7 linked regions of the Xenopus tropicalis genome follow. The protein of the gene in region 7 interacts with the protein of the main gene of each other region in a pairwise test. Links are inferred from orthologs where the notes say so. Each region holds a gene or a part of one and is shown on either strand. Other genes may lie near its edges. The genes, in order: smc3, ezh2, gse1, ccdc14, snrnp70, ints6l and cep63.

Evidence for each region.
Region 1: the proteins of cep63 (region 7) and smc3 interact in a two-hybrid assay, tested with the Homo sapiens proteins (2 studies listed by BioGRID and IntAct). The link is inferred for Xenopus tropicalis from reciprocal best matches to the Homo sapiens genes CEP63 and SMC3.
Region 2: the proteins of cep63 (region 7) and ezh2 interact in binary tests that used the Homo sapiens proteins (3 or more experiments, as listed by UniProt). The two-hybrid records come from large-scale screens. The link is inferred for Xenopus tropicalis from reciprocal best matches to the Homo sapiens genes CEP63 and EZH2.
Region 3: the proteins of cep63 (region 7) and gse1 interact in a two-hybrid assay, tested with the Homo sapiens proteins (2 studies listed by BioGRID and IntAct). The link is inferred for Xenopus tropicalis from reciprocal best matches to the Homo sapiens genes CEP63 and GSE1.
Region 4: the proteins of cep63 (region 7) and ccdc14 interact in binary tests that used the Homo sapiens proteins (3 or more experiments, as listed by UniProt). The link is inferred for Xenopus tropicalis from reciprocal best matches to the Homo sapiens genes CEP63 and CCDC14.
Region 5: the proteins of cep63 (region 7) and snrnp70 interact in binary tests that used the Homo sapiens proteins (3 or more experiments, as listed by UniProt). The link is inferred for Xenopus tropicalis from reciprocal best matches to the Homo sapiens genes CEP63 and SNRNP70.
Region 6: the proteins of cep63 (region 7) and ints6l interact in a two-hybrid assay, tested with the Homo sapiens proteins (2 studies listed by BioGRID and IntAct). The link is inferred for Xenopus tropicalis from reciprocal best matches to the Homo sapiens genes CEP63 and INTS6L.

The regions. Positions count from the first base shown.
Region 1 is NC_030683.2:2,845,404-2,849,709, reverse strand, and holds part of smc3 (structural maintenance of chromosomes protein 3), read left to right. Parts: intron 1-71; coding exon 72-147; intron 148-529; coding exon 530-568; intron 569-1,020; coding exon 1,021-1,088; intron 1,089-1,987; coding exon 1,988-2,059; intron 2,060-2,157; coding exon 2,158-2,237; intron 2,238-2,414; coding exon 2,415-2,493; intron 2,494-2,817; coding exon 2,818-2,935; intron 2,936-3,020; coding exon 3,021-3,196; intron 3,197-3,329; coding exon 3,330-3,410; intron 3,411-3,961; coding exon 3,962-4,126; intron 4,127-4,306. UniProt on the Homo sapiens protein: Central component of cohesin, a complex required for chromosome cohesion during the cell cycle. The cohesin complex may form a large proteinaceous ring within which sister chromatids can be trapped.
Region 2 is NC_030682.2:55,123,463-55,128,274, reverse strand, and holds the start of ezh2 (histone-lysine N-methyltransferase EZH2), read right to left. Parts: upstream 3,137-4,812; 5' UTR 3,045-3,136; intron 2,476-3,044; exon of another isoform or gene 2,360-2,475; coding exon of another isoform or gene 2,322-2,359; intron 1-2,321. UniProt on the Homo sapiens protein: Polycomb group (PcG) protein. Catalytic subunit of the PRC2/EED-EZH2 complex, which methylates 'Lys-9' (H3K9me) and 'Lys-27' (H3K27me) of histone H3, leading to transcriptional repression of the affected target gene.
Region 3 is NC_030680.2:64,862,175-64,865,431, reverse strand, and holds the end of gse1 (genetic suppressor element 1), read left to right. Parts: intron 1-845; coding exon 846-949; intron 950-1,337; coding exon 1,338-1,472; 3' UTR 1,473-2,518; downstream 2,519-3,257.
Region 4 is NC_030685.2:88,353,621-88,358,361, reverse strand, and holds the start of ccdc14 (coiled-coil domain-containing protein 14), read right to left. Parts: upstream 3,445-4,741; 5' UTR 3,167-3,444; coding exon of another isoform or gene 3,126-3,166; coding exon 3,096-3,125; intron 1,881-3,095; coding exon 1,825-1,880; intron 1,496-1,824; coding exon 1,420-1,495; intron 1,088-1,419; coding exon 1,015-1,087; intron 676-1,014; coding exon 550-675; intron 1-549. UniProt on the Homo sapiens protein: Negatively regulates centriole duplication. Negatively regulates CEP63 and CDK2 centrosomal localization.
Region 5 is NC_030683.2:113,692,159-113,695,194, reverse strand, and holds part of snrnp70 (U1 small nuclear ribonucleoprotein 70 kDa), read right to left. Parts: intron 1,638-3,036; coding exon 1,536-1,637; intron 978-1,535; coding exon 890-977; intron 1-889. UniProt on the Homo sapiens protein: Component of the spliceosomal U1 snRNP, which is essential for recognition of the pre-mRNA 5' splice-site and the subsequent assembly of the spliceosome. SNRNP70 binds to the loop I region of U1-snRNA.
Region 6 is NC_030684.2:68,649,415-68,654,376, forward strand, and holds the start of ints6l (integrator complex subunit 6 like), read left to right. Parts: upstream 1-1,835; 5' UTR 1,836-2,106; coding exon 2,107-2,217; intron 2,218-2,346; coding exon 2,347-2,424; intron 2,425-4,962.
Region 7 is NC_030681.2:130,326,199-130,330,504, reverse strand, and holds part of cep63 (centrosomal protein of 63 kDa), read right to left. Parts: intron 4,228-4,306; coding exon 4,050-4,227; intron 2,884-4,049; coding exon 2,788-2,883; intron 2,195-2,787; coding exon 2,078-2,194; intron 651-2,077; coding exon 537-650; intron 1-536. UniProt on the Homo sapiens protein: Required for normal spindle assembly.

The sequences.
Region 1 (4,306 bases), on a different chromosome or scaffold from region 7:
TTAGAAAATTTCGGTGGGATAAGGGTAAAAGTAGTGTAATCTCATTCAGATATTACTCTTATTCTTTCCAGGTGATCATTCAGGGCTTCCGGAGCTACAGAGATCAAACGATCGTCGATCCATTTAGTTCCAAGCACAATGTTATTGGTAAGTGAGAGAGAACGTACATACCTGTAGCTAAACTCCCGCTTGCAATGCAGCTGCTTATATTTAGAAGCCCTATGATCATTGGACTGTATATGTGTGCGACATGTAGAATATTGCTTGTGCATCCTATAAACCAGCCTATTAACTGAAAATTACAGATAAAGGATTTGTGACCACAGTATATTTTGTTACAAATCACATTGCTAGAGAAGGTGATGCAGTTTCCGCAATGGGACTTTGAGTGTAGACTCACCAGAAGCTGGCATTATGGGCCTGCCATGCTTTCTTTTCATTTGTCCCTTTGTGTAATCATTACCGTACATTGCAGTTCCCCTTTAAAGTGTCTTACTGTGCCTTGCTTATATTCTTTCTTTTTTTACAGTGGGAAGAAATGGATCGGGGAAAAGTAATTTTTTCTACGGTAAGTTCCTTTTCTGTAATGCTGGGTTGTGTCAGGCATGTCACTGTACATGGGGAATAGCTTGTGTGTGTAGGTGGTTACAGTGTAACGTAGTATTTGTAATGAAATAGAACTCCTTCTGTCTCATTATATTGCATAAATATCTGCTCTAATGATTATAGGATCTTCTGAGATGGAAGGTTATGTGCTGTGCTGATATATGGGGGGCTTTTGAAACAATCAAAAGAAATGAATTGCGTAAAACCCAAATTTGAGTCTTGTTTCCAGCACACAGACCTTTAAATTGGTGTAGAAATTATTAATTTTTCCTTCTATTTTTTTTTTTTTCACATATCTTTGTTTAATATGCCTAAATGAGTTATAAGCAGGGCACTGTTTTCTGAAATGTTCATAAGAAACTGCTGCATATTTTGATATATGTGTCTTAGTAACTAATCATTTTGTCATTATAGCCATTCAGTTTGTACTCAGTGATGAATTCAGCCATCTCCGTCCAGAGCAAAGGCTGGCATTACTACATGTAAGTATTCTGCTCAGTCAACTTTGGGATTATTTATTCAGGAAAAAATCTGTACTCTTGCTTTTTGTGATTTGGATCAGTAGGGATTATTGTTGTGGTAACAAACCACAACAATAACCACAGAACAGTCCTATTGGGTTTATTTAATGGTTAAATGGTTCCCTTTTGTCTGTAATAATAAAACAGTACCTGTACTTGATCCCAACTAAGATATAATTACCCCTTATTGGGGCAGAACAGCCCTATTGGGTTTATTTAATGGTTAAATGATTCCCTTTTCTCTGTAATAATAAAACAGTACCTGTACTTGATCCCAACTAAGATATAATTACCCCTTATTGGGGCAGAACAGCCCTATTGGGTTTATTTAATGGTTAAATGATTCCCTTTTCTCTGTAATAATAAAACAGTACCTGTACTTGATCCCAACTAAGATATAATTACCCCTTATTTGGGCAGAACAGCCCTATTGGGTTTATTTAATGGTTAAATGATTTCCTTTTCTCTGTAATAATAAAACAGTACCTGTACTTGATCCTAACTAAGATATAATGAATCCTTATTGGATACAAAATAATCCTTTTGGGTTTAATGTTTTAGTGATTTTTTAGTAGACTTAAGGTATGAAGATCCAAATTACAGAAAGACCCCTTATCTGGAAAACCCTTGGTCCCGAGCATTCTAGATAATGGCTCCTATATCTGTACTTTCCTAACAAAAGGATAGTCAAAGTGAGATGGTAGTGTCCACTTTATTTCCATTTACTCTGTGTTGGGGGTGTAACATTACTGTTAAATGCTTGCATGTGTGTTTTTCTTTTAAAACCTGCATTTCCCATGGTACATGTATATAGGGTCCAGATTCTTTAAAATGTAATAATTCTTTCCTCTCAAATTTAGGAAGGAACTGGGCCCCGTGTTATTTCTGCTTTTGTAGAAATTATATTTGATAACTCCGACAACAGATTACCAGTAAGTTAAAATATTTTGTGACCTATATTTACTCTCCATGAGGGGATTTTTTTTTTAATGTATTTTTTTTTTCTTCTCCTTCAATTATGTTTATTTAGATTGACAAAGAAGAGGTTTCCCTCCGGAGAGTGATTGGTGCCAAAAAAGATCAGTATTTCCTGGACAAGAAAATGGTGACGTATGTGCCGATACATAAACCTTTAACTCATTTTCTGAAAGTATTTGCTGTAATAACTAGATAGTCCTGTATCACATCTTAAATATTTAGACTGTTAACTGCTCTTAGCAGCACATTTGTATTTAATGGATTAGAGATCCTAAATTTTGTTTCTACTTTTTTTTTTTTTAACCACAGAAAAAACGATGTAATGAATCTTCTTGAAAGCGCAGGTTTTTCTCGTAGCAATCCTTACTACATTGTCAAGCAAGGCAAGGTGAGAGCGTTACTGTCTGCTTTACACTGCAGAATTTATCTGTGTGGTATCAGGGAGCCACCAAGTTAATGTAAAACATTAACACCAAAAAATAATATTTTTTTTTAAAGTAATTAAATTATGTGGTCAAATCCATCCACCCCTCTGCACCCAGTAATTTTGTGATATGCCAGTTAAGTAAAATCTAAATGTCACCTTAAAGTTGTGGTTTTCTAACAGCTGCGTTGTAACCCAGTAACTTTGGTAAAAACTATATTTTCACAAAAAGAGTGCTTTTAAATATTTTTTTTATTATAACCATAGTTATTTTACATCCAACTATAGATTAACCAGATGGCCACAGCGCCCGACTCTCAAAGACTGAAGCTGCTGAGGGAGGTAGCTGGGACAAGAGTATATGATGAACGTAAAGAAGAAAGTATCTCCTTAATGAAAGAAACTGGTAATTACATTTTTGCCATTGACTTACTTTAGTATCTTTAGCAATACCTGTTCTCTTTAGTCATATTTTTACATTTTCCTGTCAGAGGGTAAGCGAGAGAAAATCAATGAACTACTGAAATACATTGAGGAAAGGCTGCACACCCTGGAGGAGGAAAAGGAAGAGCTGGCTCAGTATCAGAAGTGGGACAAGATGCGTAGGGCCTTGGAATATACCATTTACAACCAGGAGCTGAATGAGACTCGGGCAAAGCTTGACGAGGCAGGTCTTTTCTGTGTGTAAATGCTCTGTTACTATGTCTAGCTTGCCATTGTGGCTCTAAGCTGCCATTGGCTGTTTGCTCCAAATTTGTCTTGTAACAATTGTGCTGATTTGTCAGTGATTTTCCTTGTAGCTTTCTTCAAAGCGTGAGACAAGTGGAGAGAAATCCCGGCAGTTAAGAGATGCCCAGCAGGACGCCAGAGACAAAATGGAGGTAATCCTAAAAATTATTGACTGTATAGCAATCACCTCCTAGCTCTAACACCAGTGGTCTTCTTAACTAAAAAAAAAAAAAAGGCTCCAAGGGATGCTACAATCAGAAGCCATTCTTAGCAAAACTAATAGTGTTGTACTGTTTTATTATGAGACTTTGACCCTAGAAAATAAACTGAATGGAAACCATGGTTAAAGCATATAGCAGAGATTGGCCTGCATCAGCAGCCCTGGTATCCCAAGACCAGAACTCCCAGCATCTCTTCAACTGAACTGCTGGATGAATTATGGGCGCTTATGCAACATATGAATAGGAATGCCTGCCTATTCTTGGGGTTCAGTTATCTCTGCAGTCATTTCAGTACAGATTTATAAGAGTTAATGTTACTTTATAGAAAATTTACAAATAGAAAAAGTATTGTGATTTAATTCTGATTTAATATAATCCTGAGTCATCAAGAGTAGACTGTCACTTAGTAAGTGGGCTGTGTGCTTTCAATAATGTTTTTTTTAATTACATAGCCGGTTTTATATATACTTTTATATTAATAGGATATAGAACGGCAAGTTCGTGAATTTAAATCGAAGATCTCTGCAATGAAAGAGGAGAAAGAACAGCTCAGTTCCGAGAGGCAGGAGCAAATTAAACAAAGGACCAAGTTAGAACTTAAAGCTAAGGATTTGCAGGATGAACTTGCTGGGAACAGTGAACAACGTGTAAGTAATAACTCGCGTGTATCTGGAAACCACCTGTGCAGCCATACTTGCTAAAGAATACTATGTGGTGCCGTACAGAAAAGCAGAGAGCAGCCTGTTTCTCTAGCGGCCCTCCTGTCAGTGCAGATGTTAGGGTTTTGTCTTGAATCACCTCTGGAGGCAGGACAGAGAATTGAAGCT
Region 2 (4,812 bases), on a different chromosome or scaffold from region 7:
GCGTACCCTTGTGGCGCTTTATAAATAAAGTTATACATACATAGATTGGAGGAATCACCACAACAGGACCAGCAAGATCTCAGATCAAGCACTCACTGTACATACACTATGCGACCATCTTCTGCATAGATCAGCAGTCAGTGAGAGTGTTTATCTAGACCTGTGAAGACTAAAGGTCCCCATACACGGGCCGACTATAGGGGCCGATTCGGCAGCTAATCGGCCCGTGTATGGGCAGAACAGAGCGACCTGGCTGACCGATATCTGGCCTGAAATTGGCCAGATCTCGATCGCCCAGGTTAGAATATCCGGTTGGATATCCGGGGACCGCATCAACGAGCCGATGCGGTCCCCGAACCGAATGCCCCATAACCACAAATGTAATCCGATCGTTTGGCCCATTACTTTTTTTTTTAAGTTACTTGCTACCCGATATCGCCCACCCGTAGGTGGGGATATCGGGTGAAGATCCGCTCGCTTGGCGACATCGCCAAGCGAGCAGATCTTATAATGTATGGGCACCTTTAGCAAGAGTTTAAAAAGCTAAAGTCAACTACAGAAAACCCTGCTTTTCAGACAGTGAAACTGTCATGATTTCCTAATTTTCCATTAAGTATGACTTCACTAAAATCCTTGGAGAATGTTTTGGTGGTGAAGGTGCTGCCCTAAGGTTCTGGGATGAGAGAATGATTTGATAAAAGAAAAGGTCTTTGGACTCTCAAAGATCTTACAATGAAAGGGAAAACCTTTGGTGCGAAGATCTTTCCCATCTTTTAATATATGGTCCATGGCCTCCTCTGGCTAGTGTCTGCCAAGTCATTGCTGGAACAGTTTTTCATTTCATCATGGGCTTGAAAGATAGACAAGTGGGCAGTAATGAACAAAGAGCCCCAGAAAGGTGGAAAAGGAGTCCCAAATAACTAACCTACTGAAGAGTTTGTCTCCAACTGCATCTGCTTGACATTAAATGGCACAGACAAGGACTCTGGAGGCAGCTCCATGTCCAACATTTTTCCTATCCTACTTTGGTGCACACTGGGATGGGACAAGTGGAACCACTTGTGGAATACATCTTGGTTTTACCTAGATCTTACAAACTTTGTGAGAGAGCACCAATAGGACAAATTCAATATACACTTGTGGAAAGATAATCAGCGAGCTGATCAGAGGCATGGATGTGTTGGGAGTCTATTCCAGTGCTTCCAACTGACATTGCAATGATTTCCATTTTGTTGTGATAGTTGCGTTGTGGTGCATGTGCATTAACCAACGCTGGTTCCACCCAACTGCCTATCAGGAGATGTTTGAGAAGTGCGCATTCTATTTTGATTTTTAGCCACAGAAAATGCACACTCCCAGTAACTCCAAACATGCCAGATAAACCAAAACTCGTCACTACATTAACGATGAAGCAATAATAGACCAGCAAGAGCCTTAAGATAAATGAAAAACTTCAGCCCGACACTGGTAAATACATAACCCTGACCCTAAAGATAGACAAATCGCAAAGATAGACATCCTCTGCATGTCTCCAATTTATGTGTTAGTGTAGCTGGAACAACTGCTTGTGTGGGCACATAGTGGCAGCCAAAAATCATACACACCCACTGCCATGTACAAATATCAGATGCAATTTCTGACAGTGCATTTCCAACTATACTCACTTAAAAATTGGATATGCGGGTCAGACCCTAGAGCTAAAAAGGAATTTTAATATATAACAAAATAAATACACAAGACAAATCTTGAAGGAAAAAAAACATACCAAGTGATGATGATCTGTCACACAATATCATCCGACGACTGACACAACTTTGTCATGCACAAAATGACTTCTTAAAGCAGCAGCCGGATACAGCACAAAAACAGCTGACCGTGGAGCTGCTGTCATACAGCCCTTTGGAGTCTGTTTCAATAAGTTAATCACCCCATGTATGTCCCAGCACACACATGCCCTTTCTATACCGTCAATGACACTAGTGTATAACACGTTTTCAAAACTATTACAACTTCCTGCATTGTGTCTTGTATGCACCCACGCAGTACCTCCTCTTGTTGCCGACAGACTGTTCCATGACTCTTATCTGATGACAACTTTTTACTTTGCTCTGCACACCCTCACCTGCAGGTTTTAGCTACACCAATAACGTACGTGGAAAAAGCTTGATTTCTGTCTAGTCCTTAGTGCTCAACTGATGCAACTTCACTACAGTAGCACTTAACCCCCTACCACTATATTGGCACCACACAGTTCCTCTCATTCCTCAATCAGAAAGTCACTTGGCCCTACAGAGGTTTTGAGGTAGAATATTAAGAGAAACCTGCGACTTGCTGAAGAGGGCTTTGGATGGCCCAGCATGGTTGTCCTCTCTTCATGTGTGACAGCTGCCCTGCCATGGATGTTCAGTGTCCCCTCAGACTGTTGTTGAAGTATAACTTTCACCAATGTCAGTGCTGGGAGTTGTAGTTCAACAGCTGGAAACCAACAAAGAGGCAACACCAAATACAGATGATATGCAGAAGACTAGCAAACCCTTGGAGGTGTTGCTGGGATATGCAATCCTACAATACATGTTCAGTCCAACTTAGAGTTGGACTGCATCAACAGTCCTTGACCCTAAGACACCAGAGTTTAAATCTTAACCTGCTACTTCCACGTTCGAATGCAGAGATGTGAAACACAGAGTACAAGCTCTGGCCACACTACAATTCCCAGAATCACCAGAAACCCGCTACAGGCTAAAGGCATCCTATGGTTGTCACAGGATTGGCCCGATCACTTATGTGTTGGTATATTGTCTATCTTACACGTCCATTGAAGTTAAATCTCCATTACACAGCACTTCGGACCATACAACCCTGTTATTGTAATCAAACCACGATTTGACAGTGAAAATATTCCCGCATTAAACTCCAGCTGTAAGGTTGCATTTGGAGCCCCTCCCCCTCTGTTGCCGGGGGCGGCCCCTTTGTCCTCGTCTGCTCCCACATAGGGCCCACATTACCAATGTGCCCGGTACATAATTAGGCTCTATTTCAATTACCGTGTCTATGACCGTCTCCCCTTCGCCTGGCTCTCCTCTTCCGTTCTTACTACCCGAATCTCCTTACCGATGGAATCCCTATTGCACTACCGCCAGCCCCAGGCGCCAAACTAAATCTCCCAGATAAACCTCCACCTCTCGCAGCTTTCAGCCACCCCCATGACCGGTGCTTAGCTCCCTCTAACTAGGTTCCAATTGGCTTGCTCAAGGGCGCCCGGAACTGTACGAGCCAATAGGAAAGCAGAGAGGGAAAACGAAGCCGGCGCCAGCTATTCCCTCATACAGTGTTATAGAGCCGCTGTGCACTCTGTTTTCCTTTGTTCTGGCCGTACTCTAAAACTGACTGAGACGGGGGCGCGCTCTGGCGCTTTTTGGTCTACTCCAATATATATTTTACTTTATACTACATTATTAATGTTTTATTGCTCAACCAATATTCTCATCTCTGGGTGTGTTTGAAAATTTACAACTGGTTTACGATAAAAAAAAAAATATATATACATATACAATATGCCATCGGTTTTATCCCGAGTTATAGCAGCCGGCGCGCCCATTCAGAATATAATTGTTCTGTTCTTGAAGTAGCCGGGATGAATATCACACGCTTTATAACAGCTGTGACTTGTGTACACGATTCACACGGATATGACTCTGCCGTATAGGGGTTAAGAACGGTCCTACCGGGCGCTGACAATTCCCGCCGTATCAATGCAGCGCGGAATTAGAAATGGAGCAATTCAAACTGAAAGCGTTTTGGGCGGTGACTGTAGAAAGGGGCGTGGTCTATAGATCACGTGCTCTCCTACACCAGCGACAGAATGGCCCCAGGTAACCTGGCGGCAGAACGTGTTGGTTGAGGCAGATTGCTGGGGAATTGTGGGAAGGGAAGTGCAAGGTTGTATAGTTGCTATTAGTTGTCTTCGAACGAACTCGATCAGTGCCACTGTGTTTTTAATGCATGTTGGCCGAAACGTAGTAATACTTTGATGTGTACGTTTATAGAGGGGCTGACAAGTTTATATCTTTACACGAAATTTGCCCTAGTGTGGATTTGTAGGAGCTGCTCGACACAGCCCTTCGATCTGAATGGGCTAGTATGGTATGTTACGGACTCCAGTCAGCTCTAGTGTCTAATGGGGCACAAAGGTGGGCCTGTCTCTTTCTATGTGCTTTGGTATTTGACCGGCCGCACACATGCAGCTATGATTTGCTCCCAGTACTACATTAGCATGGGTTGCACACCTGTTTATCAATAGGTTTAATGCCACACTGTTACACACGGGTTGCAGGGCCTATGGGTAAACCGGGCCGAGGAACAAAACAAAAGATCTATTAAAGATTTCATGGGATGTGATTTCTTACTAAATTCAGCTGCTTAATTGGGCCTTAAAACACAACACCTGTCCCAATGAGCCTATCCAAATAAAGTATCAAGTACACAAAGGGGCCCATTTATCAATGTTTGATTGAGTCCGGATACAAAAAAAATTGTATTTTTTCTAAGTTTTATAAATGTGTGTGTATTTTCTGCAATTTGTTTATTAATTTCAGCAACTTTTTCGTACTTTGCGTATGAAAGTTTCAGGATTCATTAAAGCTTCAGTATCCTTTGGCCAGGTGCTGCATACAGGCACGGATTTGTGGCGAGGCCACAAAGGCCCGGGCCTAGGGCGGAACATATGTAGGGGCGGCATGCCGCCCAGTCGCATTGTGATGTTGCTCATACGGAGCAATGGGGACCGGATGCGCAGAAACTTCAGCGCGTCCT
Region 3 (3,257 bases), on a different chromosome or scaffold from region 7:
GGGCCAAACAATCAAAGTAGCCACATATCACCCACCTTAGGTGGCCATATCAGGAGAAGATCCGCTTGTTAGTCGACCTTCCACACAAGCAGATTTTACTGTGTATGGCCATCTTTTAACTTGTAGCAGACTATGCACCTTTATTAGACAAACCCTGAAAGTGTCATTGTCATCTTTGAGTAGAATTGCTAACATACTCTCATGAACTTTCCATTCGATAAGCAAAAAGTGGAGGCTCGGCAGAGCACAGTTTCAGTCCCTTTCCCTGTTGTTTTGTACAATGAAGAATAAGCTGCCAGGAAAAGATATCAAAGAATTTCCCTCACCTTTAGTAGAACCTGTTACTAGCTCATTGCTGCTTTAGTTCGTGGTGACGTTGGGCTTTATTCCTAAAAATTCCAGTGAAAGATAGTGCCTTGAAGGAAGGAGAGAGGGGGCAGCACATGCATGTCAAGTAGAGAGATTTGTCCTGCTGGGCAAATGGGAAAGTACTAAGTACTCCATGTCAAAAAAGCCAGTTAGGCTATATCGCTTGCTATTGTGTGGCCTAACCCAAGTGTGCAACCAGGTGTGGTACAATGCAGGGAGAGTGGGCATCATAATGCAAAGCGTCTCTAATGTAATCGTTTTCTAATGTAACAATATATTATGACTACTCCATGCTATGGCACTTTACTAGTTTGCAGATAAATATAGTTAACAAGCATTCCATATTATTGTGCCTTGCTGTATTTACAAAGATTCAGATGTACATGTTACCACAGCTATGTTTCACTTATGCTCCATAATTACAGTTGCTTATATCTCTTTGAAGTGGGATTAAATTGTACTTTTTTTCTTTGCAGAACAAAACCTAGAACGGCAGGTTCTGGAGAAGCAGTGTAAAAGACTAGAATCCCAGCACTATAACCTGAGTCTGACAGCTGAACAGCTGTCACACCGCATGGCAGTAAGTGATGTCCCTGTCTATTAACTTCTTTTCTCACAGTGCCCCTTACGACTAAAAGCATACTTTGGCGTGCAGTCTTTCTAGCTATTGTTTAAAAAAACAAGCCAGCAGTGTAGTGCTTTTTGTGGAAGGTTTCTCTATGCTGGAAAGGTGCATGGACCATTGCTAAGATAGTTCAGTAGATAAGCAGCGTAATAGAGAGGTGCAGGCAAAATGTTTTCTTTATTCTACTTGACATTGACATATTCTTGGCTCCATGACTGTATTTATTTTCCAGCTGTATATCAGTAAATGCTTCTACAGTCAATGCGATTTATCGGCATTTTGGCCTTTAACATGGTGAGATTCTTGCGTTCAGTCTATTTACACCATGCATCTCTCCCCACAGGACTTGATGAGCCAGAAGCAAAAGGTGGCATCAGAAAGAGAGAGATTACAAGCTGAACTAGAACACTTTAGGAAGTGCCTTGTTTTGCCCACAACGCCGTGGTCTAGAGGATACTTCAAAGGCCACCACAGGTGACATCTTGTCTTGCACTAGGTTTGATCGTACAGTATAGAAATATCTATTTTATTATCTCGATATTTAATATTTTTCACTGGGAGGATTGGGAAACATCATCCTATTTCTGTCACATTCTGCACCACCCTGGGAGAAAAACAAAAAAAACAAAAAAAAAATCCATATATATAAATATATGAATGTGCCATGCATGTCTCAAAGGATTATGAGAGATTGAGAGAACAACCAACCTCAGTCAAGGCAAAGCCGTGGGCATTTTCTTCACCACATGATTTCCCTGTTGGCACCACATCCCATACCAGGGTCCCTCATTGACAGACTTTTGGCTGCATCTGACACTACAAGCAACCTAGTGCACTGTCTGCCCTCTGGACTGTACCAAAGTGGGTGCTTACCTTTCTGAATCCACCCTTCATTGCCATCATTCTTCAACCTGAAACCGCATTGTACTGCTTTATTTATCACGGATTCCTTGTGTCCTTGCCACAGAAAGGAAAAAAAAAAAAGTTTGAAAGTTCTATGACTTTTATGGTATATCTTCTTTTAATCAGAAATGTAATATGCTGAAATTGGAGGTTAAGGACTTATTTCTGTAACACAAAAGACAATTTGTCCACGCAGAGCTTTGCAGCTTGCAATGGGAATGCACTTAAACCTGGATCTCAGATTGGTTGAAGGTACCTTTTATTAAATACCTGTCACATGGTCGAGGTTCTATACTGCAAAGCTGCTACACACCTCCCATAAGCAGGCAAAAGGAAACCGATTGGAATCTAGACATACTGATCAGGTGCTTCAGCCTTGGACTGTATATATTACAAAGTTGTTTTTTTTTTTTTTGTTTTTTTTGTAAGTTTTTATTGCTTTAATTATTGTTATAAAGAAAAAAAACTGCCATTTTCAGCGCTTCTGCATTTTTTTTCAGCCAGAGGAAAATACATGTCTCTTTTAAAGTTGCTATTTAGTGTTTGTATTCTGCTGCTGGTCAGGAATTTATCCTATCAAAGTCTTTTTGAGAAAATTAAAAGTTGGAAAGAGAATTAAAAGTGGAAGGTGTTTTTGCCTGTCACTTGAGTGTTTGGGGTGTGTTACATGAGCAGATTTGCCAGTAAGATGTGCTGATTTTAGGTTGTTTTATGTGTGGTATGTGTCTGTTCTTCTGTACTCACACTGGCCTATTGAGGCAGGCATATTCATGTTCACCCCTCTAAAATCTTAGACTAAATCCAGCCATAGATGGGCTGGTCCCGCATGGTATCCTACTGATTGACCCATGAGCAGGACAGATACTGTACAAGGGGCTGTACACAGTATGGCCAATGTTAAATTGTTCTTTTTGCTGAGTCTAACATCCCTGAAAGATCAGAGCAGCAAAATCTTTGTATTAACGTGGTCAGTTAATAGTTACCAATCGGGATCATCCAGCCACTATACATGCCAAAAACTGTATAATTTTATTGGTATATGTATGGCCAGATTCAGGCAGAGAACACTGTGTGGCAGCTTGTGTGTGTATGTGTAACTGTGGTACAGTGATATAATTAGGCTTCAGTTTTATGTTCTGCACTTGATGAAACACATGGACAAAACAATACAGACAGAAGATGATTAGAAGGGGGGGTGGGGGCAGAGTTTAAATAATGTGTGCTAAACAGGTCATCTTCCCAGTGGAATTAGGGATGGGGCAGTCTCAGACTGGGGCACTTGGGGCTCGCCAGGGAACCTGATGCCTTTTATTACATCACCCCCAAGTGAGAACTAAAGAATGTAATGCAGATACTGCTT
Region 4 (4,741 bases), on a different chromosome or scaffold from region 7:
CTGAAGGTGGTAAGGGAATTAAAAGCAATAGATTATAGTGTTTCCTATGTTAGCAGATTCCAGTTACTTGCTCCATAGCAATCAATGATACCTATTCCAAGCAAGCAACAAATATCATAAAAATATTAACCCTTCCTGTGACATTAGTGTCACGGTCATGTTACTAAGTAAAGGTGCCCATACACGTTAAGATCCGCTCGCTTGGTGAGGTCGCCAAGTCGCCACCTACGGGTGGGCGATATCGGGTGAATTTAGGCTAATTCGGCTGTTTGGCCCTGGGGCAAAACGATCGAATTAGAATGCCGGTAATAGGCACAGTCGGTTCAGGGACCGCATCAACGAGCCAATGCAGTCCCCGATTCAACTAAATTTTTAACCTGCCCGATCGATATCAGGCAGATTCCAGACGGGCAGGCCCGTCGTTTGTACCCCTACACGGGCCGATAAGCTGTCGAATTAGTCTAAGGGACTCATATCAGCAGCTACAATCGGCCCGTGTATGGGCACCTTAAGAGGATTAACCCAACACAGACTTGATGCAGAACCAACCTATTTCCTTGTGCACGTGGGAAGCAGCGCCGGGTTTCTTTGGCACAATCCTTTTGCCTCGGACGCTGGCAGATCTGATGGAGACCTTATGTACAGGGGCTTTGGTTGGATGGGACTGCGGGTTTCCTGTAACAAATGGTGAGTGATTAAATGGATGGACATACACAGTAGAAGAGAGATAGAACACTGTGATAGAACACTGTGATAGAACACTGTGATAGAACACTGTGATAGAACACTGGCATAGAACACTGGCATAGAACACTGGCATAGAACACTGGCATAGAACACTGGCATAGAACACTGGCATAGAACACTGGCATAGAACACTGGCATAGAACACTGGCATAGAACACTGGCATAGAACACTGGCATAGAACACTGGCATAGAACACTGGCATAGAACACTGGCATAGAACACTGGCATAGAACACTGGCATAGAACACTGGCATAGAACACTGTACCTCTTGTGTCGTGTTGGAGGATGTCTTGCAGCAAAGCGGCACATCGATCCAGCCCTTTATTTATTACGAAGACCTGCAGTGTAACATTAATGGTGGTGAGTGTACGGCAGGGATTTGTGTTACTAATACGCCCCCCACCCAAAGAGCAAAACCTTATAGGCCAATATTATCTGTATTTACAACAGTTTGGACTACTTGGCTGGTAGAGTCATTAGTCAGCCTGGTCTCCCCTCTATGTAGATGAAATATAATGCAGTGGTAGAACAATCTGAGAGTTCACTACATGTGTGGCCCCCTACGGAGTGGACTGTGGCCCCTCAAACTGTATTACCAAGTTTATGGCCAAAATGGCACGTAAGCCTCCCCCTTCCCAAGGGCAGCAATAACCAAATGAAGTGTCGGTACCTGATCCTCGGAGTCTGTGGAGCACAAGGAGTAGCCGGAATCGACAGACGTTGTGGAAACCTTTCTCGCCGCCGCCCTGTCAAACAGCCAATCGGAGCTCACATTGGTAAATCGTTCACAAGTTACAGGTGCACGTTTATTACGTGAACTAAATTAATGGCAACGTGGCACTGGGTGCAGCACTGGGACTATTAGGACTGCCCCTGGGGGAGGGGGGGCAGCTGGGACTGCACTAATGGGGCCCCCAAGGCTATAGCTGGTGGAGCTTCCCATTGACACAATCATTCCTTTGTATGGGGCCCTAGGGACACAGCTCTAATGCCCAGTCATGTCAGTGCCAGGCTACAGGCAGTGCTATTGCCTTTTAACATTTATATATCTATTTTTTTTCCAATGGTCTCGTACCTTTTTTTACCAATTCCCAGCCTGACGGGTCCGGCCAAGCGTCCAGAAGAAACAACCTGGCAGAAATAATAATGGGGAGAGGTTATGGGCATGGGTTGCACCCCAAGGGCCTGTGTCTCACTGCCCCTACACCTACACCCCTGGTACCAGCTGGCTGCACCTTTGGGCCAAGGTTGTGGCCCCACATTGGGGTCCTTTGGGCCAAGGTTGTGGCCCCACATTGGGGTCCTTTGGGCCAAGGTTGTGGCCCCACATTGGGGTCCTTTGGGCCAAGGTTGTGGCCCCACATTGGGGTCCTTTGGGCCAAGGTTGTGGCCCCACATTGGGGTCCTTTGGGCCAAGGTTGTGGCCCCACATTGGGGTCCTTTGGGCCAAGGTTGTGGCCCCACATTGGGGTCCTTTGGGCCAAGGTTGTGGCCCCACATTGGGGTCCTTTGGGCCAAGGTTGTGGCCCCACATTGGGGTCCTTTGGGCCAAGGTTGTGGCCCCACATTGGGGTCCCTTGGGGCAAGGTTGTGGCCCCACATTGGGGTCCCTTGGGGCAAGGTTGTGGCCCCACATTGGGGTCCTTTGGGGCAAGGTTGTGGCCCCACATTGGGGTCCCTTGGGGCAAGGTTGTGGCCCCACATTGGGGTCCCTTGGGCAAGGTTGTGGCCCCACATTGGGGTCCCTTGGGGCAAGGTTGTGGCCCACATTGGGGTCCTTGGGGCAAGGTTGTGGCCCCACATTGGGGTCCTTTGGGGCAAGGTTGTGGCCCCACATTGGGGTCCCTTGGGGCAAGGTTGTGGCCCCACATTGGGGTCCCTTGGGGCAAGGTTGTGGCCCCACATTGGGGTCCCCTGGGGCAAGGTTGTGGCCCCACATTGGGGTCCCCTGGGGCAAGGTTGTGGCCCCACATTGGGGTCCCCTGGGGCAAGGTTGTGGCCCCACATTGGGGTCCCTTGGGGCAAGGTTGTGGCCCCACATTGGGGTCCCCTGGGGCAAGGTTGTGGCCCCATATTGGGGTCCCCTGGGGCAAGGTTGTGGCCCCACATTGGGGTCCCTTGGGGCAAGGTTGTGGCCCCACATTGGGGTCCCCTGGGGCAAGGTTGTGGCCCCACATTGTGGTCCTTGGGCTCCTACTAAAGGGGACAGGTATTACCAATGGTTCTGGCGCTGCCGGTTATAATCATGGGAATATCTACCCCCCCCCCCGCACCAACAAACATTATATACCGTTGTGTATCTGCCCCTTACCGGCCCCGCCAAGCCCTGCCCCCGGCTCCCGGTACCTTTCCGGCTCGGCCTCCCGCTTTCGCCATGTTCGAATCTCCTTCTCAGCCGCTGCCGGAACTGTCACCATGGATACCAACTGCGGCCGGAAGTTCAGCAGCCGCGCTACAGCTGGCGGGAAGAGAAATGCTTGTTGCCGGGGTAACGGGGAGTGGGCGGGGCCTGGGCAGCTTTATACTGCGGCTGAGGGAGCCGAGTCGGTCAGTCCGTGTGGCGGCGCCTGTGTAGTTGGTCCCGGCGGGAGGGGAAAGGCTCTGTGGGGAGGGGGGCAGCCGGGGCTTTCTATGGCCGCTCAGTTTCCCGCTGGAGACGATGAAAGGGAAGCGGAGAATAAAGGGGCGGGTGAGAGACCCCGGGATCAAAGGGACCGGAACTGCTTCTACTCCCCCGGGGCATTATGGGAGAGTCAGTAACAGCCCCAGTAACCTTCTGATTCTGAGCAACTGGGAGACTGGGAGTCACAAGTACTGATTATAGGGGAGAAGTGTAAATCATTTGTCTTCTCTATAGATACAGTATTGTGTGTGTGTATTGTATCTCTCTGTGCCGGCTGTTCCTGCTGAATTGTGCTTAGTACAGGGGAATCCCTATGTGCCATAGTTTTATGGTATCTCTCTGTACAGGCTATGAGCAAACTTAGGGGGCTGTTCCTGCTGAATTGTGCTTAGTACAGGGGAATCCCTATGTGCCATAGTTTTATGGTATCTCTCTGTACAGGTTATGCGCAAACTTAGGGGGCTGTTCCTGCTGAATTGTGCTTAGTACAGGGGAATCCCTATGTGCCATAGTTTTATGGTATCTCTCTGTACAGGCTATGAGCAAACTTAGGGGGCTGTTCCTGCTGAATTGTGCTTAGTACAGGGGAATCCCTATGTGCCATAGTTTTATGGTATCTCTCTGTACAGGCTATGAGTAAACTTAGGGGGCTGTTCCTGCTGAATTGTGCTTAGTACAGGGGAATCCCTATGTGCCATAGTTTTATGGTATCTCTCTGTACAGGCTATGGGCAAACTTAGGGGGCTGTTCCTGCTGAATTGTGCTTAGTACAGGGGAATCCCTATGTGCCATAGTTTTATGGTATCTCTCTGTACAGGCTATGAGCAAACTTAGGGGGCTGTTCCTGCTGAATTGTGCTTAGTACAGAGGAATCCCTATGTGCCATAGTTTTATGGTATCTCTCTGTACAGGCTATGAGCAAACTTAGGGGGCTGTTCCTGCTGAATTGTGCTTAGTACAGGGGAATCCCTATGTGCCATAGTTTTATGGTATCTCTCTGTACAGGCTATGGGCAAACTTAGGGGGCTGTTCCTGCTGAATTGTGCTTAGTACAGGGGAATCCCTATGTGCCATAGTTTTATGGTATCTCTCTGTACAGGCTATGGGCAAACTTAGGGGGCTGTTCCTGCTGAATTGTGCTTAGTACAGGGGAATCCCTATGTGCCATAGTTTTATGGTATCTCTCTGTACAGGCTATGGGCAAACTTAGGGGGCTGTTCCTGCTGAATTGTGCTTAGTACAGGGGAATCCCTATGTGCCATAGTTTTATGGTATCTCTCTGTACAGGCTATGAGCAAACTTAGGGGGCTGTTCCTGCTGAATTCATTCAGCTTTTTATACGATCATAAAACTTAGTGACTTACAATAT
Region 5 (3,036 bases), on a different chromosome or scaffold from region 7:
TACATGAAGCATATCTATAGGCAGAAGGTGAGGAAAATAAATTAGCATCACTGGTTGTTATAGTTGGAAGCAGCCATGTTGTACTTTCCTTAGGGTAACCAGGGTCAAACTAAGAGCACTTTTTCATTTAGGAACAAGGTTTGTGCACATTCATGTTCTTAAAATGGCAGTTGATATAGGACTGATTTAAATAAGGGTTTTTACAATACTGAAACCACCAGCTGCCTTTTCATTTTCCTGTGGGGACATAATGGACCACATGCCTCACAGAAATGTATTCTCTTCTAGTATGATGTAGTGCTCCAAGACATTTTCTGAAAGAGTTTGTCATTTTTAAATTAAGCCTTTTGTTCAGCAGCTCTCCGGCTTAGAATTTTAGCAGCTATGCAATTGCTAGGGTCCAATTTAACCTAGCAACAAAGCAGTGGTGCAAAGATACAGGAATATGGATAGAAACAATAAAATTAGGTTTAGCCCAAGAGCAATAGTTTTTTTTTTTTTTTTGTTTGTTTTTGTTTTAACTGCAGTGACCCCCATTTGAAAGCTAAAAAAACACAGAATAGAATATGTTATAGAATGGCCTATTCTTCGCAAATTTTCAATTAGCCAATAGATTTACAAAATGCTTTGAGGCTACAGCTGCACTGTCTGACCTGCGCAGTGCATTCCTGAGGGGATGTGGCTGCCCTGCCATAATCTACCTTCAGAAGTGTGCAAGTTTTAAAGAAGTGGAGGCCTGGGTATCGGGTTAGCTATTTAAGTCACTGGACGGTGCCTAAAAAATGGCTTCCCCAGTGCTTTAAATGGACCAAGAAATAGGTACCGACCAAATAACTGAACAGTCCGGAAGAAACTGAACACAAAAGAAAAAAGATCAGTGGCTGATTACCTCTCATCATATCTAGATGTATCGTCTCTGCCAGAGTGCCTGATATTGACATCAGCTCCGCCCCTTCTTGTGCCTCCAAGACCACCACCTGAAGAATGAAAGAGAACGTTGCCATTTAGAAAGTTTTCGTGTATGTTTGCTATCAGACTCATTACATTCGGTTACTGAACTGCACTGAGAATGGGTAGCAAGTATTTAAATTAAAAGCCAACTAATGGAGGGCAATGATCCACAACACAGAGGGTTGAATAGATATTCAAAATCGCCCCGTTTACATGACGTACAGCAGTGATTCCCAACCAGCGACTCAGGGGCAACACCACCTCCTTTGATATTGCTCCCAGTGGCCTTAAAGTAGGTGCCCATTTTTACATTTCTGGCTTGGAGGCAAGTTTTGGAAGCACAGACACAGTTTTACTCCAAGCAGAGCCTCCTGCAGGCCAGCAGTGCACATGGGGCTACCAAATAGCCAACCACAGCCCTTATTTGTACTCCCCAATGAACTTTTTTCATGGATTTGTGGCTCAGACACTTTTTACATCGGAGTGTGGCTCATGGGGAAAAAACGTTTAGGGATCCCTGTTGTACAGACAACTTCAGTCCTGCTGGGTTTCTCAAGTGTTTAAGAATTATAGGATGTCCTTACCAAGTCTGCGTGGGCGCCATCCCTTCACAGTACGTCCTCTCTCGACATCGACCAACACACGCCTTCCGTCTATTTTCTTCCCATCTGCGTGCTTGTATGCCGCTGTAACACAATGTTTCCAGAAGGGCAGAACAGAGCCAATTAGCTTACATGCACATAACAATCCCCCCCTCCCATACAGGCACACAGTCTTAACCTCTCACATAGAACAAGACTGCTGACTAAATTATGCAGGGCATCAAGCAGAGTTTCTACTATAAACTTATCAAACAAATCCTGTGTTAGCACTTTAACCCTGGACACAAAAGGAAAAAAAAAAAAAAGTGTTGGAGAAGATGCAGTAAATGCTCTACTGGACAGCACAAGTCAGGGTTTCCTGAACAGTTTTAGACTTTTATCAACAATTCATTGTGTTCCCCCTGAATAGAACAGAAGCACAATAAAAAAAACACAATACGGAAACAATCACGATATAGAGAAGTATCTTGTGCCTTCCACACCTAATGGACAAAAGAGCTGAGGTTAAAAATACTTATCGTGTCTTATGGCTTAAGGCCTATTGTCCCAACCCCTAGATTTCTACAGCTTTCAGAGTAAGACCAAAAAAGCCAAATAAGCTATCCAGCAGTAGCATTTCCTTGCAAAAACTCCTCACCAACACTCCAATGCCACCTCTTAAATTTCCCAATCATGCTGAAAGAAAAACACGTTAAAAATGATGTTGTTCCTATCGCAACTTACACATATTGACTTAATTCACATTAATCTTGTAGCCTGTCGCTCAGGGTGTTCAGCTATCAAGCAGATGAGGACATACTCATCCATCACAAACGACTGCCTTACCTGGCAGCATTTCAAGTCGGTATGCCAGAAGGCAGTATGTGTCATGGTTTAAGCTGAATGTGAAGACTAGTTTTGGCCACAGCGCTGCACACTTGTAGTTTGATGTTTTAAACTACTGCGGTGTTTATAGTCCCTATAACCATTCGCATATTGCTATAGCCAAGAACTACCATAAAGCAAGATGAACTAAAGACAGTACCACTAAAATAAGTGAAAAAATAAAATTTACCTGGTTAAACTACTTACAAAACCTTTCAAATTACCGCCTCAAATTCAACGGAATTTCATGACGATATCTTGGAAAGATGTTTGAACCTCGAGAAGTTCCTCTTTTTTTTTATTATTTAAACTGGATTTGAACTGACGAATTTCTCGCAGCTGAGAAACTGTCTTACCTGCCTTGGCTGCCTCGATTCTTTCCATTGTAACAGTATATTGACTGATTTGATGAATAGTTGAATGGTGGTTGCCAGTATCACAGAGACTCCTGCTTTTGTCTCAATTGATTTTTTTAAGCCAGCAATGGCACGATCTATGTCCATACTGCAGAACATTAGGATCATGCCCACACATTATCCATCATCTGTTCCGCCTCTCAACTACCCAGGGTTAAATAAATTGGATTGTGCTACATATACTTACTTCCTACCCGTGGCAA
Region 6 (4,962 bases), on a different chromosome or scaffold from region 7:
CACAAAATTTTCGCCACTAGTAGTGCAGCATCTCTTTTTGTCCCTCTTTACATTTTTCAAATGTTGGGAGGTATGGACTAGCATTCTGGAAACTGTGGCAAAGGCGAAAGTTGCATAGTCCTTGCGGATATTGCCCTGGCTGGAGCTGAATTTAGACACAGGTCCAGACTGAAAATCTAGAATTTCCAAACTGCGGTTCGTGTGTGCCTGGGCACAAGTAACACCCTGGTATAGGCCTTTGTGTACTTGATTTGCCCATACTGTATCTCAGTCCAGACATGCCAGTACTGCAGCAATTGCTATTGTTTTTATTGTGTGCTGCTTACTCTGTTAAAATAAAATAACTTTTTAGGATCCATTAAAACTGTGCCCCCCCCATTGGCAAAATGTTGTAAAGTATAGAATACCCTCTACCGAACTAATTTATAGAAACAACTGGCAGCCTTCAGAAGACACAGAGGCCTGTTTCATAATTTTCTAATATAAAATGTATTTTTTTTCATCTAAAAATGGTATTTCAACACAATTGACTAATTTTTCTATTTTTGAAAAATGGCTTAATCCACTCCATGTGCCTGCACCTGGGCTGATGCAATGGCTTCGAGTGCCAGCACATCAAGAAGCTTTATGGAGCCAGGCACACAGCTGCAATGAGGTAAACTGAGAAACTCACCTTAGGTGGCAATGCCCCTCAAGTTACCAGGGGCACCAATTGCGCTTCCTGCACTAGCGATGCAACCCCCCTCAACCCGTGCTGAAACTCCATCAGCAGTTGCAAAAAGTGATAGGGGTTGGCATTGAATGCAGCTGTCTGAGCTATTCCTTTGTTCTTAGGTGTGCAATTTTGTTTGTTTAATAAGAAGCTTCATAGATTTACTCTAACGAAGTTTATGGAAGCATATGTGAATTTTTTTATTTACTTTTAGGAAAATCTATGCCCTATGAGGCTTGGCACACTGAAAACAACAAAACTGGTGGACTGAGCACTATCAGGGTTGAGGCATTTGCTGTTTTAGGCAATGAATGGACAATTGCAGGCATTTTTGCCAACCATGGAGCTGGAAACCTTTAGGAGATAAAACACCAGACTTTAGTTATTTCTGTCTGTTCTACTCGGGATTTTGGCCACAGTTTCAAACATGTGTGCCGTTTTGACCTGGCCATACACTTGAGTTTATACCTGGTATGTGATTATTTTCATTGCATTTGCGAGATTATTTATGCTGCCAGACTAGAATTAGGCACCTACAATGGATTTCAATTTGCCCAAATAAAGCAGGGACAAAGGAAACTGTATGCAGGGAGCCACGTTGTTACGAATAACTGGTGACAACTCACAGCCAAGAGGTTCTGCAGTGCCAAAGAGACGGCTAAAGTGATAAAAGGAAAGTAATGTACTGCCCCACTAAAAAGAATTGAATTTTAGCGAAAAACGCAACCATCCTGCGGCTGGTGCTTACACCCATCCCTATTAACTTGACCATCAGCAGGAGGTACAATAATGACCTTCCCGGCAAGAGCCTGTTTCACACAGTAATCTGCTCACTGCAGATTACCCAGCACCTCAAGCGGTGAAACGGAAAAAACATGGCGGCCGTGCAGTTGAACTACATTTCCCTGAACTCCACGCGGAGCTAAAATAAATAAATAAATCCATTCCCCGCCTTTCCTCGTTAATATGCAAGGGCTGGCCGCCGCATGGAACCAATAGCAGGGCACAGCGATCACATGCCGCGCTAGTCGGGTTTTGGCTAAGATAATCATGAATATGCTAATTGCGACTGGGGCTTGCCAGCCAATACGGCGGCGGGGCGGTCACATGGTGCGCTGGTAGAGGTTAGGAAGAGAAGTTATCTATCAGTGAACACTGTACAGAGACTCAGAGCTCAAGTGAGCTGTACGGGGGTAGCCCGTTCTTGGGGGCCGGGGACCCACACAACATATCGTTCCCTCTACTGAGACAGGGGTCCAATTTTACCGTCCCACCAAACAAACTCCACATAGCCAGCAAGATACCCCAGGGTGTGGGCACAATAAACCACCGCAGCGCCAGGGTAGCCCAGGCTGGCGGATCCATCGGGTTTCCGCCTATAGTATGCGCTGAAAATGCCTATCTTACTTTTCCTCATAGACACGTCCGCCTCTATGAACCAGCGCACTTATTTGGGTACCACCTATCTGGATATTGCCAAAGGCGCGGTAGAGATATTTATGAAGGTAACAGGAATTGTTGGTGTCTCCCAGCGCGGGGGAGGGCTGATGGGTTTATTTTATTTTTGGGTGATTCGTGTTATTTGTATGACTGTGTATTCACCCCTGCCTTCCCTTGTGTTTGTGTCCCCGCAGCTGCGTGCCCGGGATCCTGCTAGTAGGGGCGACAGGTATATGCTGGTTACATATGACGAGCCACCATACTGCATCAAGGTAAACGCATTTCAGCTACTACCCCGACTCCGTGGTGGTTTGTATCTGGGGAAAAAGCTAGGCCCTTTAGTCGCCTCCAGCCGCACCTGTAACAAGACCCCGTGGGAACGCTCCGTAGGACGGAGGAAAACGGCAGGGCGGACCCGGGAGCCTTGCAGGCCGCGGCGGGCGGGGTGCAGGGGGTGGTTTCGGCGGGAGTAGACGGGTCGCAGCCTCCGAAGATGGCGGACATCTTGCTTTTGTATGGGGCTGAGGCGCCCGAGATGGAGGCGGGGGGAGAGAGCATTGGTGGGCGGTGCTTATGATGTCACAACTCATCGCAATATCATTGGTCTTTGTAGACGTGTTGGACCCACCCTTTCCTGTTTTATTGAAGTGGGCTGCACCATGATTGGCAAAAAAATAAATAAGGAGCGGAGATTACACGAGTCAATGAGTGCATGGTTTAGCATATGTGACATGTCAGGGAAATTTAACTTAAGTTCAAACATTTCTGTGTTTAACAGTTGCGGTGTAAAAATGTGTTATTTAGTCTTGTTTCCTTCATGGCCACTTTTAGTCAAGTTTAATTTAGCTTAACTGTCACTGACTTTAGTTACACTTTAAAGGGGCACTAAGCCGCAATGCAAAGGCTTATACTAAAAATATTTGTATGTCCGTTGTTTAAATTAAGAAGTGTTTGGAGTTCCTTTACTAAATAGGGCAAACTATAAAAAAATAAAAAGTGGTTTCATTTTCAGCCCCTTATGTATAGCTAACTGATCCTTACCTGTAAGCCTGACCCACAGAGTGCTTCTTTGGAAAGGCAGGGGGTTGTTTATATGGAGCAAAAATGTTTCTTAGTGCTTTGTAATAACACATGTAGATATTTTAAAATAGAATATGTTTCCTATTTGTTTTGCTAAAGTTGGGCTATGGTGTACACCTATTATAATAACATGGGTCTCGTTAGGGCTTTAAGTATCTAAATAATGTGGCTTTAATGTACCAAAATATGACTAATATGACAAACCTGACAACTGCTTGTGTTAAAATTATTTGGGAAAGTCATTCAATCTAATTATTTGACAGTAGTGTCCATTCCCAATTTTCCAGTTTCTTTGTTTTGTGTGCTGTGGCAGCATTAATAATTGTTCCCCAACTGGTGTTTAACCCAGCTGGAAAAATTGACCAATGATGCCACCTACTAGTGCAAATGCCAGAGCCACAGGGCAGAGAATACTAAAGGACAGGCAGACACTGCTTCTAATAGCAATTATGTATATATAATTATATGTATATATATACAAATAAGTCAAAGTCCATTGCAAATTTGTAACAACGCAAAGTTGCTTAGAATTATGTTTTCTTTTTATTAAGGCCAAAAATTAACTTTTGAGTTGACTTTTTCTTTCATTCTTTTGTGGCCCCCTCAAAATCATAATACACTCATGCAAATGGTTACATTTATCTTTTTTAACTGTTTTCACTGATTGGAAGCTTTTCCAGATACTCAATTTAATGACAAAAGCATGAGGCTAATGTTCCAACATAGGTGATAACTTGCACAAGTGCATTGCCGATATCTTTATCTTTACCTAAAGGGTAAAAAAAAAAACATTAACAGAGATCTACAAAGACAGATTGTACCATGCACAACATATATAAGGGGCATTTACAAATGCAGCGCAATGCTCATAGTGCAATTTTGGGAGGTAAGTTACCATTTTTTTCCCTGCACAAGTTGCAGTCAAAATTGTCATTGTGGGGCATTATCTTTCTATGTATACCTTTGCTAAATTGAGAACCACAAATAGGAATTATGTTGAAAATGTATTCTCTATTCTGGTAATAGTAAAAAAAAAGTCACTGGTGGAAAATTAGCTTGTTTTCGCTGTATTAAAACTCCCCCCTATATGGGCTGGTAATTTTCTTTTTCAGCCTCCCCTCTGTTGACAAAAATCAGGAAATGACAGGAATTAGTAAAGTTTAATTTTCTTATGTGTAGTGCAAAACATAACACATTCCTCATTTATACAATTTTTATTCATAACTAAATTATAAGGGTATAGTCCACATTCTGCAATTGAGAGGACTGATAATGTTCATGGCGCACACGTTAAAATTATACACATCAATTTACTAGTGCTGATGTGTGGTATGGGCAGCCTTTCAACCCTCTCTTGATTTACAAAATCAAGCACCACTGCTACCATGATGCCACCAACAGACAGGTTCTTTTCCTTCAGTTCTGTATCTGACTCCTAGTTACAGCAAAAGCTTTTAAGAAAAAAATGAATTGCTCTACTAAGCAAGATCGGTAGCAATCAGCAGAAAATTTGATTAGTACCTTAGCTTGCTATCAACTTGCTTTAATGTACAGAGAGAACTCAGTACAAAAACAAAGCATAGCTTTCTGAATTACTTTCTACAAAATCTAGCCTACTTTGCTTTCAATACATCTAAAGCAATCTTCAGTGGCATGCATCTAAAGACAAGGAAAATATTTATTAAGTTTTCCCTGTGCAATAAGTTACAGTTGCCAGACATTTTTTTAAA
Region 7 (4,306 bases):
TCTGCAGTCTGTTTCTGTATTTTTTAAACCCCTGGACATGCTGGTGTAAGGATTCTGTGTAGAAACAGCAATTGCTACTCACTTCTTAAATTAATTTACTTTACCATTTTTTTAAGACCTTGGGACAAGTATACATTACACAGGAAAACATCCATGTGTACCTCAACATCCCATTAACTCTAATCTGTCTACAATTCCCAGTGCTTTGTATCGACCAATAAGTATCACAGCATAGTGTGTAATATAAAACTAGCTATGTTCACCTTGGTTGCCCACCTTGGTGGAACCAGTGACCATTCATACAGCTTTGTCAGTCTGGTTGTCAGTCCTGCTCAGGTAGTGAAAAAATTATTACTTCCTAAGAGCCCATAAGATGAAAAAACTAAGGCAGGCAGCTCCAGACTGGAAGAGTTGTGGGCCAAGAATTATTCTGCAGAGTGTCCTGTTTTCTAATGAGAGGGCTCTTTTGTCCGATTAAAGTAATTAATTCATGTAAGCATTGCATGACTAAAAAAACAACTCATCTGATAATATACCTGGTACATTTCTGCCTGCTCACTCAAAGTTTTGCGTTGTGCCTCAAGTCCAGCCAGTTGCTGCTGATACAACAGACGCTGCTTCTCCCAATCCAAAGACCTCTGTCGGAATTCCTATGGGAACACCCACCAGTGATTGCATTTATTAACAGTATAATTCAAAAGAATCACAATACTTTTCAAAACAAGGATCATTTATATCTACAACAATAACAGCAGTCCATCTGCTCAGTCATAATTACAGCAAACAAATAACTGAGTAGTTTTTACACAGGAACTTACACAAAGGCAACCTTCAGTTGCACAGGAGTACATGGAAGTTGAGTATTTTCATTCCACAAAAGCTTGAACACCCAAGGTTACAATTACTTAAACTATAAATTGTCTTTCTCTATTACTTTATCTAAGAAGTAAGTGCATATTTAAAAAGGTTCAGCTCCCTTACAACCACTTAGACTGTAAACTCTATATGGGAGGGTTGTCCTTCCACTTGTCTCTGACACTTAGCTCTTAATTTTTAATTTAACTGTACTTTGTACTTGCAAAATATAATTTTTGGCAAATAAAAGAAACAAAATTCTAAGCAGCCTTGCAATATACATTTATTACAAGTTTGTAATGGTTTTTGAGTTGGTATATATAATTGCTATTAGAAGCAGTGTTTGCCTGTCCTTTTCTAATCTCTGCCCTGGTGGCTCAGACTGTTGAAACAATGTAACACAAGCAGCAGACTGACAGACCTGACTTGCTGGAGAAGCAAGACCTTTGCGACATTGTTTAAAATGTAACAGCCAGGAGTTCAGCAAATGCTGCTTTCAATAGCAATTACATTTACAAATAACGTTTAAAGCGCTACAAATTTTTAATTATTTCATATTGGAAAGTTGCTTAGAATTATGTTTTCTTTCATTATGCAAAAAATTATTTTTGGGGTTGACATGCCCTTTAAAGAACAATAAAAATGAATATGGCTAAAATTCCATATTTTTTATAGTGAACCAGCCTAAAGTTTCAGCATCTTTGTAGCAGCAATGATCCAGGCCTTCAGAGTTGTCGCAGGAGCCCTCCATCTTGAATTTTGAAATTCACATGCTCACATGCTCAGTGTGCTCTGGGCAGCTGTTGAGAAGCTGAGCTTAGGGGTCATCACAAAGTATTGAGCAGAAAATGAAGTTGGCCTGTAAAATAAGCTGAGACTGCAGGGCTAATTATTAAAGTCTGATGCTAGCTAACTGGTTTCAGAGCTGCCACACACACAGTATATTGTAAGTGGGTCCCTAAGCTCAGGTAAGTGCCAGCAGCACAGAGTATGGGTAAGGGAATCAGCAGAAAAGAAGATGGGGGGCTACTGGGGCATATTTGGGGGCACAGATCTTCCCTGCTAAAGGGCTGTGGTTGCCTCTGGCTGGTACAGGAGCACAAAACATAATGAACAACATTTCTGCCCTACCTGTTTGCTTAAGCTTTGGTTTACCTTGAATGTATAGTTCAGTACAGTGCCGTGTGCACAAGTAGCATTATATAAATAAAAATATACATACCTCTAACCGCCGCGTCAGGCGGCTGACTTCAGATCTTTCCTCGTCTACTTTATTCTTCATCTCTGATCGCAGGTGCTTCTTCTGTACTTTCTCGTAACTTTTTTTTAATCTGTTTAACTGAGCAAAACAGTGAAATATTTTAAGATCCTAAAAATACTGCTTTAAAAGAGAAAGAAAGGTAAAAGTAAGCTTTATCAGAAAGGTCTATGTAAATACAGCCATAAGCACTCACAGAAACGCTGCACTGACTTCTTTGTCAAAATATTTCTTGTGTCTGTAATTCCTGTGCCACAGACATGCAGCTTTCTGCTCTCTCCTGCTCCCCCCTCCCTCAAGAATCCTAAGAACTCACTCCCCACCTTAGGAATGTGAATCTGAGCCAATCAGCAGGAAGCTGAGCATGTTCACTTGGTCTGGGTGTCTGTGCAGGAGTGAGGCATTATGGGAACTTTCTTTACACAGCTCAGCGTTTTTTCTTCCTGTTTGGCTTCTGATCTTCTGAACGGGAGAAATATAGGGAGACTTAAGGGCACTACTGAGAAGGTATGCCTGCAGCTTGAGATTAACTCTTTACTAGCCTTTCCTTCTCCTTTAATGAGGGCACAGATTGTATGGAGATAAAAGGCAGATAGGCCAGCTGTGTTATGAAAGCAAATCCAATGACACGCAAGGACATGTTGGATAAGGCAGGGCTAAAGAGTATTGCTCACCTCCTCCTTAAAGCCTGACAGTTGAGCCTCATACTGTACAGTCTTATTCTGAGTCTCTTCTTCCTGCTGTATGAGCTGCTGTCTCAGTCTTCTAACCTGTAGGAATCAGATTAGTTTATCCCCAAAAATACACATAATTCAAAGATAAATAATGTACATCCCAAACTAACACAGTTGTGTACTAAATGCTCATGGAACATATGTATCTGTGAGTGTCATAGACAGGAGGGAGGAATAACCGAGGTCTGAGAGAGGGGTATCCTGTGGAGTGGTCAAACTCAAAAGGGGGAATTCACAAAAGTGGCAATATTGAGACAAAATAAAAATGCAGATAGACTTGTCGGATTTTCCACCTTATTCACAAATCTCTATCTCCACTTTTGTAAAAATTTTTTAGATTTTGTCTTTTAGATGTAATTTTACTGACAATTTGTCTTTTGCCCTTTTAAAATCTGTTGGTGTGCCATCAAACCCAGACCCACATCTACACAAGCCTTGGAATAACAATTTTACCTGCAGAATTGTAGCATTTTATTTGCCAGTCATTTCACTTTAGGGGCATTTCCTGAAGGGGAATTATAGTTTGCCCATGAAAACTATCAGTTTCTTAAGGACAACCTGGACTTTATAATTTTTTGTGTAATTCCACTTCTGTAACAAAATTTAGGGGTCTAAATACCAAAGTTTTATTTTATATGTGGAAATACAACTGATTTAGAAATCGCCATGTTTCATGAATATGCCAGTGCCAAATATGTATAGTTTTATGGAGTGTCAGTGAAGTGCTGCTAAAATTAAAAATTACCTGGGAGGCGTTACTGTTCCTTCCATTATATATAAAGATTTAATAATGCAAATATGAGGTAAAAACTTGTTTATGAAAATGTTAATGATGGTTTTTGCAGCTATTGTTCTAGGGTTTCTGTTTGTCCCCTGACAATAGGCCGCTAATCCCTATCAATCTGCTAATGATCCACCAATGGTGCTCCTACAAGAGGTGTGACTTGAAGAATGGGTGAAACAAAGCAAAACAGAAGATCTTAGAATTGACCTGAGAGAGTTACACTGAGCTGTACGCCATTTTGGAAATGTCTGGGGGCCTCTTAGAGATTAATATGCAGAAGAGGAAATATCTATATTTCAAACAGGAAAACAAAGTGACCAATTCTTATAAATAAGGCATAATATACAATAAGTGCACTAGACTGCACTAATCCTAAGCCACAATGCTGGTTCTGTCTGTAACTTCTCAACTGGTCTACCTCCTGGTTTAAGTGATCTTCTCTGTCCAGTGAAGATTTCAGCTCCTGCTCTTTCAGCTCTAGACGGGTCTTGAGTGTTTCAGTCTCTGCTTCCCACTGCGACCTCTTGTGATCCAGCATAATGTCTATCTGCCTCATGAGTTCCTGCAGCTCAGCCTCACAGGAGCCTTGCAAAGACCTAATGAAGATGAACACAGAGTTATAAAAAAAGCAGCAGATGTAAATAAATATGTTTATATATTGGTTTTCAGACTCAC